2 linked regions of the Drosophila melanogaster genome follow. The protein of the gene in region 2 interacts with the protein of the main gene of each other region in a pairwise test. Each region holds a gene or a part of one and is shown on either strand. Other genes may lie near its edges.

Region 1 (5,372 bases), 6.8 Mb from region 2:
ACTAATAAAACCTTTGATCTTTGCCGATACATCGGAATCCGTTTCGAGATCGTCTGCATCAGCACACAACGCAGGTGTGTTGCATTCTCTGTCAAGGTTACCATCATGGTTTTTGAAGAGTAAAGACGCAAGCTTGTGGAACTAAAATAATCAACTCAGATATAAGAAAGCTACAAAAATTGAAGTTCTTTTTTTAGACATACATTATTCAACTGCTCCGCATCGCTGTGATCAATGACATCGGCTATATGATGCCGTAAGTATTGCATTGCCTTTAAGGGATCTTGGCGCGTCATCTCCTCATAGCGCAGTTTACGCACCAAAAACCGACAATGCTTCAGGATCTCCTCTCGTTTGGGTCTAAAATATAATAAAATTATCATCGATTACATTCAGCTAGTAAATTACATACTTTTCCAGACATAAAAGCCAAAAATCATCAAGTCTCAGCTGCTGCTGCTGGCAGATTCCAGGATTTCCGCCAAACAAATAATGGGTATTGGTCACATCATCATAGACCAGCTGGTGGGCATAGCGAGGGCACGGCTCTAAGGTTCCATCACCCTTGCTAGCGCCCAAAATATTCATGTTGTTAATTGAGTTGGCATCCTGGCCACTGTGGCGACAGTAATATATCCTCGACCACTTGTGATTGCGCAAGGAATAAACCCAAAAGGAGTTTGATGCATCAATATGCTGTATATCACGACGATCCTTCACCTTACTTAGGCTCTAAAAACGAAGAAGTTAAATACGAACGCCGAAATAATGTCAGAACTACCTACAGAAAAAATATAAATTTCATCACGTTCACAGTCAATGGTGGCACGTAAAGTATAACCGGAGGAAGGTTCGAATTTGGCTTCGTTGCCAGCGATGGTTCCGTGATGCGGGTGCTCCTTGTTGAGAACCGATATGGCCTGGGTGTCTACATCGTAGCTAAGAAACTCATCCAGATCCTCCTTCCCTCGTTGTCCGCCGTATATGTAAAGTTTTCGATGTTTCTATAATAGCGCGTACAAATACATATATCTGTATACATAGCTTATAGAGTATAATTAACCTACGTTATGGAAAACCATGCAGTGTGTGATCCTGGACTTGATGGACATCACATCTGCCAGGGAAGCGCTGGCATGGTGGCAGTCCACCAGAATCTGAGCCCAGGTGTTCGTTGCTATGTGATAGGAGAACAGCCCCGAATATTCTGGTTCTATCGCTCCCGTGGCATTGACACTGCGAGGCGTGAGTATTTTGCCTCCGAAAACGTAAATTGTACGCTTATCGGTATCCATGCACATCTGGTGATCATAGACAAGCTGAGGACCACCCACTTGGCTGGTGTCATCGCATATTTGCATCCAGTTGCCAGCCCTCGTATCGTAAAGGTAAAAGTCGCTCTTTATATAATCCGAAGTTCGTATCGAGTTATCCAGGTAACGACCAAGCATGAATACATTTTCGCTGATGGGATCAAAGACCATTTTGTGACAGGATCGCGGTGTGGGTCCATTGGAAAGCTCTGACCTTTCGCACAGTAGCGTCCACTGATCATCTTCGATATTGAATACCCAAAGGTCGCTCAAGTCCTGGTAGCCATCCCAGCCGCCGTAGAGATAAATAAGTCTCCTTTTGGCATCCACCACCAGCTGGTGACCACCGCGATTGCCTGAAATAGAGGAAGTTAACTGCTAATGATTGCTATTTGGAGGCAAAAATAGTTACCAGGCTTTATGTCGCTTTCGGTATGCTTCATATGCCAGCTGTGCTTGTAGTCCTGCTTATGTAAATACTCATCCATTAGGCCCTCGTCTATGCACTCGACTATAAAGCGTTCAGCCTTCTCAAAGTCGCCCTGCAAAACCTAAGAACCAGTTTTTTTTATGAATTTAATACCAAACTTCAAAGGTTTATAGCATGATCTATGCTGGGGATTCCTTTCTTACCAGACACTTATGCAGTTCGCTGATCAGCGGGTGCTCCAGTTGCACATTCGTTTGCTCCTGGAGCGCCCCAAAGGCACTCAAATAGCCCTGCTGGCGGAAGTGCTTCAGACACAGCTTGATGATCTCCACCTCGCGCAGCGAGTTGTAGTTCTTCATGCGAGCACTGGTGTACATGGGGTCGTCCTGGCCGTGCAGCTCCACGTACCAAATGCTGAAGTTGAACGACGGACCCCAGGAGAGCAGGGGCACGATCTTGAGGTACAGTATTGGTAGATTTTCCGAACCGTCTTCGGTCAGGCAGCGCAGGTTGAATACTTCTGGCACGTTATCGTTTTTTAGGCCACTGGGAAAAATATTTGAGTTATATTAAATAATGCATTTCAGAAAACCAGCTGAATGACCTACCCCTCCAGCAGCAAAACCATGTGCTCATCGTCCAAGCCGCCGTAAACACGGAATTTCTTGATGTTGCACACATGCGATTTCTCGAACTTGCCAAACTTGATTTTCTTCACAATGGCGGGACGGCGCAGCTTCAAGGTGAGAAATTGCGGCGGGCTGTTCGTGTAGGCGGACCACCTAGATGTTTGGTCGTTGGGACAGTCCACCAGGACGTTTCTACGAATGGAAATTAAAAAGATGCCCGTTTAACAATTACGATATGCGAGGCATCCATTTTCTTTTCCAGATTAGTACTTACTCAGGCAGATAGTTTGGCGAGTAGCTGGAGTAACGGTAGATCTCAAAGTTCAGGCGCTCGGAAAGCGAAAAAGGCTTTTGGCTGCTGGTATTCGTGCCGGAGACCGGGTTTAAAGATGGATTAAGGGCCGAGGACAGCGCCACCGATCCGTGCGAGCTGTTGTCCGTGGGACTGGATGTCGAGGAGGAGGACATGGCGAGTTCTATTCCAACGATCCTAGCGGTAAAAGATTAACGGAGCTCGGCTGTAGCTGTTATTACCGTTCTTTCTTGTCCGTACTTTTGTGCTTCCCTGTTCCACACCCAAAACAACCGCGTAACAGCTGATCGCCAGGGGCGTAGCCGTTATCTCATCAGGGGGTCGATTAACCGATTGTCTTACATTACATTGGCAAACGGTTAGCATTTAACAACAATTAGCATTGTGTAAATAACCAATAGAATTAGGCTGTAAAATCAAAACAAGCAATCGACCTTTTCATTTTACGCTTTTTTACTTCCGAGCGATAGTGCATTTTTAACAAAAATTAATTTACGTTAAGCCGATTTTTTGGCTAAAGTGTAGATAAGTGTATCGTGGCGTATCGATTATTTATTTGAAAGCTGTTTGTTCATTCAACCGTGATACCTTTTTATCAAGTGTACAAAGTTATTAAAATGTAGTTAGCGTATGCTTTAAGTTGTTCGGTTGAAGTTATGTTTATTTGTTTCAATGATGGCAAAGTGGCTTGCTGTCTCTTGTGTGTACTTGGGCGTTTTATTATGCCTTCCAAATACCATTGTGCGTAAATAAGCCCGTATAAATACAGATTTCAAAAATATTTTAGTTTTTAGTTCTATTCCAATGGATACTTTTTCAAAATCAGAAAAACTGAGTGCATAGCAAACGGAGCATATTTCAGCAATGTCTCTTGCATTCTGAAGCCTGTAAACTGGACTCGATCGGTATTGAACATGGATGGTGACATAAAGGAGGCATTAACTGATATTAAGGTGAGAAGTTTCATTAATTTAAGTATTACAATAATAATGGAAATTTTCAGATGTCAGTAGAAGTGTTCTACAAGGATTCTTCGAATTTGTACAAGCCCTTCGCCGTTAAATTTAAATTTGATGTTTGCCAATTGTTAAAGAATAAAACGCAAAGTAATTTTCTGCAAAAATACGCTATTAGCCATTTGACGGAGTGGACTAATGTAAACCACAGTTGCCCATATAGGGTAAGCTTATGTATATATAATATAGTTAAATTTTCTCAATATATTGAATATATATATATGTTTCTAAAGGGTCATTTGATTGCGCGTAACTTTCGTTTGGACGAGGTCTCTCTGCCCATACTTCCAATTCAGGATTACAAAATTGCATTTAACTTTTCAGGAGCCAATCCAGGAATTCACTTGGGACTGGTTTTGATCTATTTTGAAATTCTAGAGGATTATTACAAGCAAAAAAAGAATAAGCCACTGCCCAAGCCGTTGAACTTTGTTTAAAATTCATATAGCTGCTAAGGAAATATACACTTTTAAAACACGTTTTAATACAAAGGTTAGCTTCGTGAAAATTCTTTTGACAATTTTTGTCGGGTGTAACCGGCGCCCATCGATATCGTAGATTCAAGAAAATTTTAGAGTACGGTCACTCTGTCAGTGTCGTGGCTTGGTTTTGCACGGATTTTGTATTTTTAGTTTTAAACCCATAATTGATAAGTAAATATGGCCTTTGACGCGATACCCAAGGATCTGCGAGGACTTCGCGCCTGCCTCGTTTGCTCCCTAGTGAAGGTGGGTTATATTTTGCCCAGACTCGACACACATTTTCATTGAAATCATTTATCGCCCGCAGAGTTTTGATCAATTTGAGACTGATGGCTGTGAAAACTGCGAGGAGTTCCTGCGAATGAAAAACAACAAGGACAATGTCTATGATCACACTAGCAACAACTTTGACGGAATTATTGCCCTAACTACGCCCACCGACTCCTGGGTGGCCAAGTGGCAAAGATTGTGTAAGGCCTGAATGACTTCCGTTCCAAAAGGGTATTACTGATATATTTGAAATCATTTTCCTTTAGCCCGCTTTACTCGTGGTATCTATGCCATTTCTGTATCCGGAACACTGCCGCAGTCTACCTTACGTGACATGAAGAATCGTGGAATTGTCTACAAATCTCGGGACAGAAGTCAACGATAAACAAACAGATTGCCGTACAAAATACATGTATAAATCTTTATTCTTTAATTTATAACAAAACCACGAATACATACAATAGCAATACAAAACGAAACCGCATCAGTCATCCAGCGAACTAACGCGCAATCCCTCGCCGCCGGCAGTCGTAACATGAACACCAAAACCCGCCGATTCGAGCTCCTCTTTAAGCTTCCAGTAGACCTCGTTGCACTCGTAGTTCTCTGGAAGCAGAACGATGACATAGCCACCTGCGCCGGCGCCCGTCAGCTTTGAAAAGAAGCCACGCTTAAAAGCGATGGTGAAGATTTGCTCCAGTTTCGGGTGCGACACTCCGATAGCCTTCAACAGATCATTGTTGATCTGGAACAGGCGTTCAAGTTGCTCGAATTTCGAGCTATCGTCTTGGGCGTTGCCAAAGCTTTCGTAGAGTGGAACGGCGGCGGCAACAAGCTCCTCGCAAGCCTGCCAAATGGCCTCGATGAGCTGCGGAAAGGCATCTCCCAGATGACGAACCTTGGCCACAATGTCGGCGGT
Region 2 (8,742 bases):
CTTTTAAATCCGATTTCCTTTTCAATGTAGTCAATGTGCTGCTTTTTGTCAGGTGCTTTCACGGTGATGTTCTTGAAATAATGACGAATGCCCAGACAGCACAGTTGCACCGCCACTTCAGTGTCGATGGCTGTGACATTGGCTTGGATAAAGTCCTCTTTCACCTGATTGAAATAATAGAAGCATGTGGCCTTGTCCTCCTCGAAGAGCTCTTGAATATTATTTGGCACGTAGCGCACTCTGAGCTCCACTCGCCACACCCTATTATCGGTGATCCTTCTTCCGTGCTCCAATAGAACCTCATCCAACTCCGACTGGTTGTTGGGACAGTCAACGTTGGAGCAGCCGGGCGTCAGGATGTGCGAGAGAACCTTCTGCATTGAAGTGCTTCTAGCCAGCCAAATCACCTCCTTGGTGATCATGTTAAGCATGCGGCAGGCATATCGCTGAATGCTGGGCGTCCGTCCATCCGTGCCCAGATCCTCGACAGTGCGCCGGATCACATGGAAAACGGTCTCCTTGACATTAAACCGAACAGCCTTGAAGCTCTTGTTCGGCATATGCACGTGGATGAGATACTCCTCGGAGTTAACTGGCGGGGAAATAGATTTCATTTAGTTTTATGATGTGGTGGTAGTGGGGCCAAGTGGCATAACTCACTCTCATTTTTAGTGGGCGGCGGTTGACTGGTGGCTCCCGCGGTGTTCATGGTCCACAGTTACCGCACAGTGGGCGATTCCGTATAGAGGTTTCAACCTGAGATACCAGAAGCATATGTTACGGCGGATATCGATTGCATGACACAATAGCTAGCTAACTGGCGGACTTCCTGAAAATCTTCCTTCACAGGTGGAAGAGAAGAGAGACTTTCCCACCACCAAGTTGTGTGTGTTTTTTTTTTGTTTTTTTCTTTCACTCCGTCTGCTTTATGGTGTTGTGGAACCACACCTTACTGCCACGAGAAACCTACTTGCACGCCCACTCTCTGCCGACGCCAGAGTTACGGGCCGTCGATCGGCGGGCTATATAACCGAATTCTTTAATGTGGTCGGGAAAGCGAGAGATTCGTCGTTATTGCCAAACTCTCGGTTTATGGAAATGCGGTATGTGGTAGTGGGCACACACATGCACATCCCCCCGTATGTGCATCTGTTTATACATACAGTCTGCGCCAGATGTGTGGGGTTGATATGGTTATTGAGTGAATTGCACGGTGAACCTTGCGGTGTTTTCACTTCAACGCCACATCGTCGATTCAGGTTATGGATTTGTGTCTGCCCGCTGTCTTTTATCAGCCAGTAATGGTTATTTTTAAAAATATGATTACTTATTTCTCCGTAGTAGCCAGTGTGACCGAATCCTTCTGCTGATAATAAGCCAGCAGGGCTGTTCCCGAATTGGAACTGGTTCACTGGAGCGCTACACATCATCTGTGGAATTAAGCATTTATTTTCAATTTTTATATTTATCTTTTTATAGCAGAGTAAATGTTTTATATTATTTATTTGTAATAATTTAATTTTTAGTTTCTAAATTAGCTCATGGAACTAGTTCCCACTTTGGTATTAACTTTTCTAACGCAAGCAATCGATAACAACAAATTTACGACTGTCCACCACTGGCGTGGAAAGAATTACATTTTTTGCTTTTGAACAATTCGCTTAGAAAATATCTAATTAAACATAAAGGAAATAGTAAGTACTATCGTTATTACACCTTCGCAACCAGTATAAAATGCATATACCCCAGCATATATTGTGAATAATAGTTGAAGATATAAAAAATGCGATTTGCACTCGTTGCACTCGCACACGTTTACAAATTTCGTGTTTAAGAAGCAAAAAAAAAAACTTGAGAAAGGAATTGGTAGATATAATTAGACAATGTGGCATTCTTACTAGTTTCATGTATATAACAATAGAATAATGATCATCATCCAATTAACTTGGATATGTTGGTTTGTCCGCAAGAGCACCTGCATATCAAAAGTGGCGGGGTGCTCCTAATTGTATATGCATTCTTGCCATATCAAATTGATTGTTATCACATTTCTTTGCTTGCCTTTAGGACTCACATAGACAATAATGTCGGACTCGGAAGTCAGTAATATGTCGGATAGTGGCTCCGAAGATGGATCCATTTCCAACAAGTCGCAACGGAGTGCCCGCTCCAAGTCAAGATCGCGTTCCAGGTCCGGTTCCAGGGGATCTCGCTCCGTTTCCAGGTCCAGATCACGCTCTCAATCGGGCCACTCTAGATCTGGCTCGGAATCTCCACAGAGACGAGATAATCGCGGCAAGAGCGATGAATCCGGCGAAGAGGAGGAGGAGCCACCAGGTGAGGACATCGATTCCGAGGAGTACGATGAGGAGGAGAACGACGATCACCCAAGGAAGAAGAAAAAGAAGGAGCGTTTTGGGGGCTTCATCATTGACGAGGCCGAAGTGGACGATGAAGTGAGTCTTTATAACACGTATAATTGTTTCCATATATAACTATAATCATTCACTAAACTATAGGTCGATGAAGATGACGAGTGGGAAGAGGGTGCCAATGAAATTGGCATTGTTGGCAATGAGATCGATGAGCTGGGCCCCACAGCCAGGGATATTGAAATTCGACGACGAGGCACAAACCTTTGGGAGTAAGTTGAAGCTTCGGATAGTGCCCGGTCTCAGTCTAATTTGTTTCCTATATTCTAGCACTCAAAAGGAGGACGAGATAGAGGAGTATCTCCGTAAGAAGTACGCCGATGAGTCAATTGCAAAACGCCACTTTGGAGATGGCGGTGAAGAGATGTCAGACGAAATTACCCAACAAACTCTATTGCCCGGCATCAAGTGAGTTTCCAAATCTTTACGAAATGGCAACCATTTTATACTATGTACTCCTCGCAGGGATCCCAATTTGTGGATGGTGAAATGTCGTATAGGCGAGGAGAAGGCCACAGCGCTTCTTCTAATGCGAAAGTACTTAACCTACCTGAACACAGACGATCCATTGCAAATCAAATCTATTATTGCACCAGAGGGCGTCAAGGGATACATTTACCTGGAGGCCTATAAGCAGACTCATGTTAAAACTTGCATTGATAACGTGGGTAATCTTCGGATGGGCAAATGGAAACAGGAAATGGTGCCCATCAAGGAGATGACGGATGTGCTAAAGGTGGTCAAGGAGCAGGTTGGCCTTAAAGTGAAACAATGGGTGCGCTTGAAGCGCGGTCTCTACAAGGACGACATCGCACAGGTGGACTACGTGGATCTGGCCCAGAACCAAGTACATCTTAAGTTGCTTCCTCGCATTGACTACACACGCATGCGAGGAGCCTTGCGAACAACAGCAACGGTAGGGCGATCATAAACATGTCATAAAGTGTAATGAGATCTATAAATGTATGTATTCAATAGGAGAGTGACGATAGCAAGCGCAAGAAGAAACGCCGCCCAGCAGCTAAACCTTTTGATCCAGAGGCCGTAAGGTGTGTAGTACCATTAGAATTAATTTCGCTCAAGACCTAAACTACGTTTTTGTTTAGGGCAATTGGAGGTGAAGTACACTCAGATGGTGATTTCCTGCTCTTCGAGGGAAACCGGTATTCGCGAAAGGGATTCCTGTATAAAAACTTTACCATGTCGGCCATTCTCTCGGACGGTGTAAAGCCCACTTTAGCCGAGCTAGAACGCTTTGAAGAATCTCCGGAAGGTAAGATATGAAAGTTAGACCTGCTTGTGTTCATATTAACCTGGAAATATACTTATGCAGAGGTAAACTTGGAAATTATGGGCACCGTGAAGGATGATCCCACTATGGCTCACTCATTCTCAATGGGCGACAATGTGGAAGTCTGCGTGGGTGATTTGGAAAACTTACAGGCCAAGATTGTGGCTATTGACGGCACCATGATTACTGTCATGCCCAAACATCAGGATTTAAAGGTGTGTATGACAAAAGAAAAGTAGGATGAAGTAATAAAACAAGTGATTTTTGCAGGATCCTTTGATTTTCAAAGCCAGTGAGCTGCGCAAATACTTCAAAACAGGAGATCACGCCAGAGTGTTGGCTGGTCGTTACGAAGGCGAAACTGGCCTCATTATTCGCGTCGAGCCTACAAGAGTGGTGCTCGTCTCCGATCTAACCAATCACGAGTTGGAGGTGCTGCCAAGGGACTTGCAACTGTGCTCGGATGTGGCCACAGGTGTGGATTGTCTCGGCCAGTTTCAATGGGGAGATATGGTGCAACTGGAGTGAGTTTACGAATGTAATGACTTGCGAAACGGATCTTAAAAGAATTTTATCATAACAGTTCCCAGAATGTGGGTGTCATAGTGCGTTTGGAGAGGGAGAATTTCCATGTCTTGGGCATGAATGGCAAGTGCATCGAGTGCAAGCCAACTGCATTGCACAAGCGAAAGGAGAACCGTCATACGGTGGCTCTGGATGCAGATCAAAACCAAATCCGCCGGCGCGATGTAGTCAAGGTGATGGAGGGACCCCATGCAGTAAGTTATTCGATTTTATCCAATCTGTAGTATGTGTAAAGTCAAATCTTTTAGGGACGTTCCGGCGAGATCAAGCATTTGTATCGCAGTCTGGCCTTTCTCCATTGCCGCATGTACACGGAGAACGGTGGAATATTTGTGTGCAAGACTAGGCATTTGCAGTTGGCTGGAGGCAGCAAGACTACCGTTAGTAATGCCGGCATTGTGGGCGGCCTAGGATTTATGTCGCCGCGCATTCAATCGCCCATGCATCCATCCGGTGGTCGTGGAGCTCGTGGTGGCGCCCGTGGTGGACGAGGTGGTTTCCGAGTGACCCGTGACCGTGAGATCTTGGGTAAAACCATTAAGATTAGTGGAGGACCTTATAAGGGCGCCGTGGGAATTGTGAAGGATGCCACCGAGAGCACGGCTCGTGTGGAACTGCATACCTCATGCCAGACGATTTCGGTAGACCGGAATCACATTGCCATTGTGGGAGTTACCGGTAAAGAGGGCAGTGTCTCCACATATGGACGCACCCCAGCTCGCACTCCCGGCTACGGTGCCCAGACTCCCAGTTATACCGCTGCCGGATCGAAAACTCCGTTGGTGGGAAGCCAGACGCCCAACTGGGATACGGATACTCGTACTCCTTATGGTACAATGACACCATCGCACGATGGCAGCATGACACCACGTCATGGCGCTTGGGATCCCACGGCAAACACAACGCCGGCCAGGAACAACGATTTCGATTACTCCCTTGAGGAGCCCAGTCCCAGCCCTGGATACAATCCAAGTAAGTACTTTGGTTGCGCATTGTTCTTGACATATTGTAACTCCATCGAATCTTAAAGGTACCCCTGGCTATCAAATGACTTCCCAGTTTGCCCCGCAAACTCCTGGCACTCTGTATGGATCGGACAGAAGCTACAGTCCATTCAATCCCAGCCCCAGTCCTGCTCCGTCGCCGTATCCCGTTGGTTACATGAACACTCCGTCGCCATCGACTTATTCACCGAATACTCCTGGTGGCATACCGCAGTCGCCGTACAATCCGCAGACCCCTGGAGCCAGTCTGGACTCGTCGATGGGCGACTGGTGTACCACAGACATTGAAGTTCGGATTCACACGCACGACGACACCGATCTCGTTGGGCAAACGGGCATCATTCGCACCGTTTCGAACGGCGTCTGCTCCGTATTCCTGCGCCAGGAGGATCGCAGTGTGTCCATCGTTAGTGAGCACTTGGCGCCAGTGCTACCATGCAATGGCGACGAATTCAAGATCATCTACGGCGATGACCGCGAGTCCGTGGGCAGAGTGCTGTCCAAGGATGGCGATGTGTTCGTCTGCAGGATTAACGAGGAAATCAAGCTGCTACCGATTAACTTCCTCTGCAAGATGAAGTCCATCGACTAAGCTCTACATACGAATTGATGCTACACACTTTAAAGTTGACGGACTTCTTCAATGGAATACACATTATTGCTAAAATTAATAATTCAAATAAACTATTATGGACGTTTACTTCGAGTTTTTCAATTGATATCACTGGAAGTGCCTTTTTTTATTAATTTTGGCGCATTACTTAAACGATGTGTTTAATGCGAAATGAAGTTAATTAAGCGGGCCGTATTTCAAATAAATTTTTATTCTAAAAGGATTTTTCGTTACATGCGAATAACGCCAAGTAAACAAATATCAAATCAAGCTACCTCAAAGTAATTTAAACATCCGTGCAATCAAATAATCACAATTATCGGCCATATTTGCTGTTCAGCATTTAAAATAATTGAATAAACCAATTTCAGTGGTTAACATTTTAAGGAATACCCCATTTATTTACCGTTAGCCCTGTTAACCGTTAGTGATGGAACGACGTGCGCACAACAGCACGATAGTTGGATAACAGCACGACAACAGCACGTGTCGTGCGTTTTTTAGGTCCATTTGTGCGCCTCAGCGCGGCCACACTATCCTTTCCTTCTTTTCTTACAAGTTTCCGGTGAGTGCTCCGCGTTTTTTTTGCCGATATTTTTATTTAACCACTTTTAAATCGTTTATTTGTAGCGAGGGATACCTGTGAGCAGCTTTCACTCCTACATACCACAATGGCGGTAGGTTCAACCACAATTGCTGCACGCATCGACATATTTTCAACAATATTTTTGTCATGCAAAATTTGTACGCTGTGTGTTTACGATGGCAGCACAAGAAGTGACGAGTTTCCTTGGTTGTTTTTCAGGCGGTTACCAAGAAGATTAAGCGCGATCCCGCGAAGAACCCGATGAGGGATCTGCACATCCGCAAACTCTGCCTGAACATCTGCGTGGGCGAGTCCGGTGACAGGCTGACCCGTGCCGCCAAGGTAAGATATACCTAGATGCAGCATAACCATGATCACTGGCTAACTAGAGAATGCCAACAGGTGCTGGAGCAGCTGACTGGTCAGCAGCCAGTGTTCTCCAAGGCCCGCTACACGGTCCGTTCGTTCGGTATTCGCCGTAACGAGAAGATCGCTGTCCACTGCACGGTGCGCGGCGCCAAGGCTGAGGAGATTCTGGAGCGTGGCCTGAAGGTGCGCGAGTACGAGCTGCGTCGGGAGAACTTCTCCTCCACCGGCAACTTCGGTTTCGGCATCCAGGAACACATCGATCTGGGCATCAAGTACGATCCCTCCATCGGTATCTATGGTCTGGACTTCTACGTCGTCCTCGGCCGCCCTGGTAAGCATCTGTCTCCTACGTTTCGAATCGTGCACTTAATTAGGTATCTCTGCCAATCGAGGCTCTGATGCTCAGTGAATGTGCGCATAGCAAAGAAGATGTGCTTAGTTGGACTTGCTACATTCCATGCGTGGCCACACGGTACAATTTCGACAGCGTCTCATGGATTGCCAAAACGTTGATTACTTATCTGCTACTCTGGTTTATCTTGCAGGCTACAATGTGAACCACAGGAAGCGCAAGTCCGGCACTGTCGGCTTCCAGCACCGCCTCACCAAGGAGGATGCCATGAAGTGGTTCCAGCAGAAATACGATGGTATCATCTTGAACACCAAGAAGTAGAGGAGCTCTATCAGTAACCATGTTTTTTAAGAAGAATTCTACAATAAACCTTGGCTTGTGTCAACACGTAAAACCCGTAGTTCTGATCAACATTATTTATCGACAATAGTTTCAACTAAGTGGATCGTGATTGAAGTTATTTGGCAAGAAATCATTGCTAGGATTTCATATCCGGTTTTAGGTTCTATGGAGACCAACGTCTTGTTAATGGATACAACTGCAGCATATTGTAGTGTCTGGACGAAAACATTTGGATATCAGCTAGAGGCATTCAAGATTTTAAAGTTTACTGTTCAATTGATCAATTTTAAAGCAATTTCTTGTACTATTATAGAAATCAATTGTAAATATCAAAATGCCAAAATGAAAAAACTTTTGTAACAAAAGGAACAAATTCTTGATTTTGCTACAAGTTGTAGATTTAATTGCTAAACTGAGTTCCATGATTTATTTTATGAAATCCTAAAGCCAAATCATTCAGTTCAGTGTAGGTGTACATATGGCCAAAACAATTCCATCTTGGGCATGATGGGTGACCTCTTCCCCTACTGTTGTAATCGAACCCAATACTCAAAGTCACGCCTTAGGTGAACTTGAAAATTCGTGGGGGCGAACAAATCGGATGCGGCAGCCAAAGTTGAAGGTGGCCATAAGTTTCAATAAATCGATGCCAACACCAAGCGGGTTGCCATGGCAATTGAAAGTCCTTTGCAGGGCCAAACATGTCAGGAAAATCGCCGTAAACAAAATAAAATTGATGCCCGTCCGCCAGTAAAATGGGAATGTTGCACAATTTGGCCGATTTGATAAAGATTAAAAAGGATAAGATGACGATTCTGGTGCTGGGACTGAACAACAGCGGAAAGTCCTCGATAATTAATCATTTCAAAAAGTCCAGCGAACAGACATCCATTGTGGTGCCCACAGTTGGCTTCATGGTGGAACAGTTTTACAGTAAGTGGCCGTGGAATCATCAACTATGACTATATGTATCCCCTTGGAGTAGGCATGTCAGGTGTTTCCATTAAGGCAATCGACATGTCCGGTGCGACGCGATACAGGAATCTGTGGGAGCACCAGTTTAAGAACTGCCACGGCATCATCTACGTTATTGATTCCAGCGATCGCATGAGATTTGGTATTGAATATGCAAATTAACAACGCCCGTCTATCGCTCAATGTTTCAATT

What was found. The genes of interacting proteins can lie anywhere in the genome.
Region 1: the proteins of Spt5 (region 2) and spt4 interact in binary tests that used the Drosophila melanogaster proteins (3 or more experiments, as listed by UniProt).

What each region holds. Positions count from the first base shown.
Region 1 is NT_033778.4:12,629,317-12,634,688, forward strand, and holds spt4 (spt4), read left to right. Parts: upstream 1-4,272; 5' UTR 4,273-4,360; coding exon 4,361-4,429; intron 4,430-4,490; coding exon 4,491-4,653; intron 4,654-4,719; coding exon 4,720-4,838; 3' UTR 4,839-4,856; downstream 4,857-5,372. Other genes in the region: muskelin, read right to left, coding at 12-141, 204-360, 413-732, 786-1,004, 1,068-1,669, 1,726-1,864, 1,947-2,289, 2,352-2,564 and 1 more; CG33792 (uncharacterized protein), read left to right, coding at 3,358-3,426, 3,480-3,638, 3,689-4,138; Mvk (mevalonate kinase), read right to left, coding at 4,938-5,372. UniProt on the Drosophila melanogaster protein: Component of the DRB sensitivity-inducing factor complex (DSIF complex), which regulates transcription elongation by RNA polymerase II.
Region 2 is NT_033778.4:19,435,888-19,444,629, forward strand, and holds Spt5 (Spt5), read left to right. Parts: upstream 1-1,595; 5' UTR 1,596-1,694; intron 1,695-2,067; 5' UTR 2,068-2,084; coding exon 2,085-2,456; intron 2,457-2,519; coding exon 2,520-2,644; intron 2,645-2,702; coding exon 2,703-2,840; intron 2,841-2,897; coding exon 2,898-3,348; intron 3,349-3,410; coding exon 3,411-3,481; intron 3,482-3,538; coding exon 3,539-3,705; intron 3,706-3,765; coding exon 3,766-3,938; intron 3,939-3,993; coding exon 3,994-4,247; intron 4,248-4,306; coding exon 4,307-4,502; intron 4,503-4,556; coding exon 4,557-5,280; intron 5,281-5,338; coding exon 5,339-5,904; 3' UTR 5,905-6,011; downstream 6,012-8,742. Other genes in the region: Fak (focal adhesion kinase), read right to left, coding at 1-592, 661-709; RpL11 (ribosomal protein L11), read left to right, coding at 6,597-6,602, 6,731-6,853, 6,914-7,211, 7,426-7,553; Arl6 (ADP ribosylation factor-like 6), read left to right, coding at 8,330-8,507, 8,557-8,691. UniProt on the Drosophila melanogaster protein: Component of the DRB sensitivity-inducing factor complex (DSIF complex), which regulates transcription elongation by RNA polymerase II.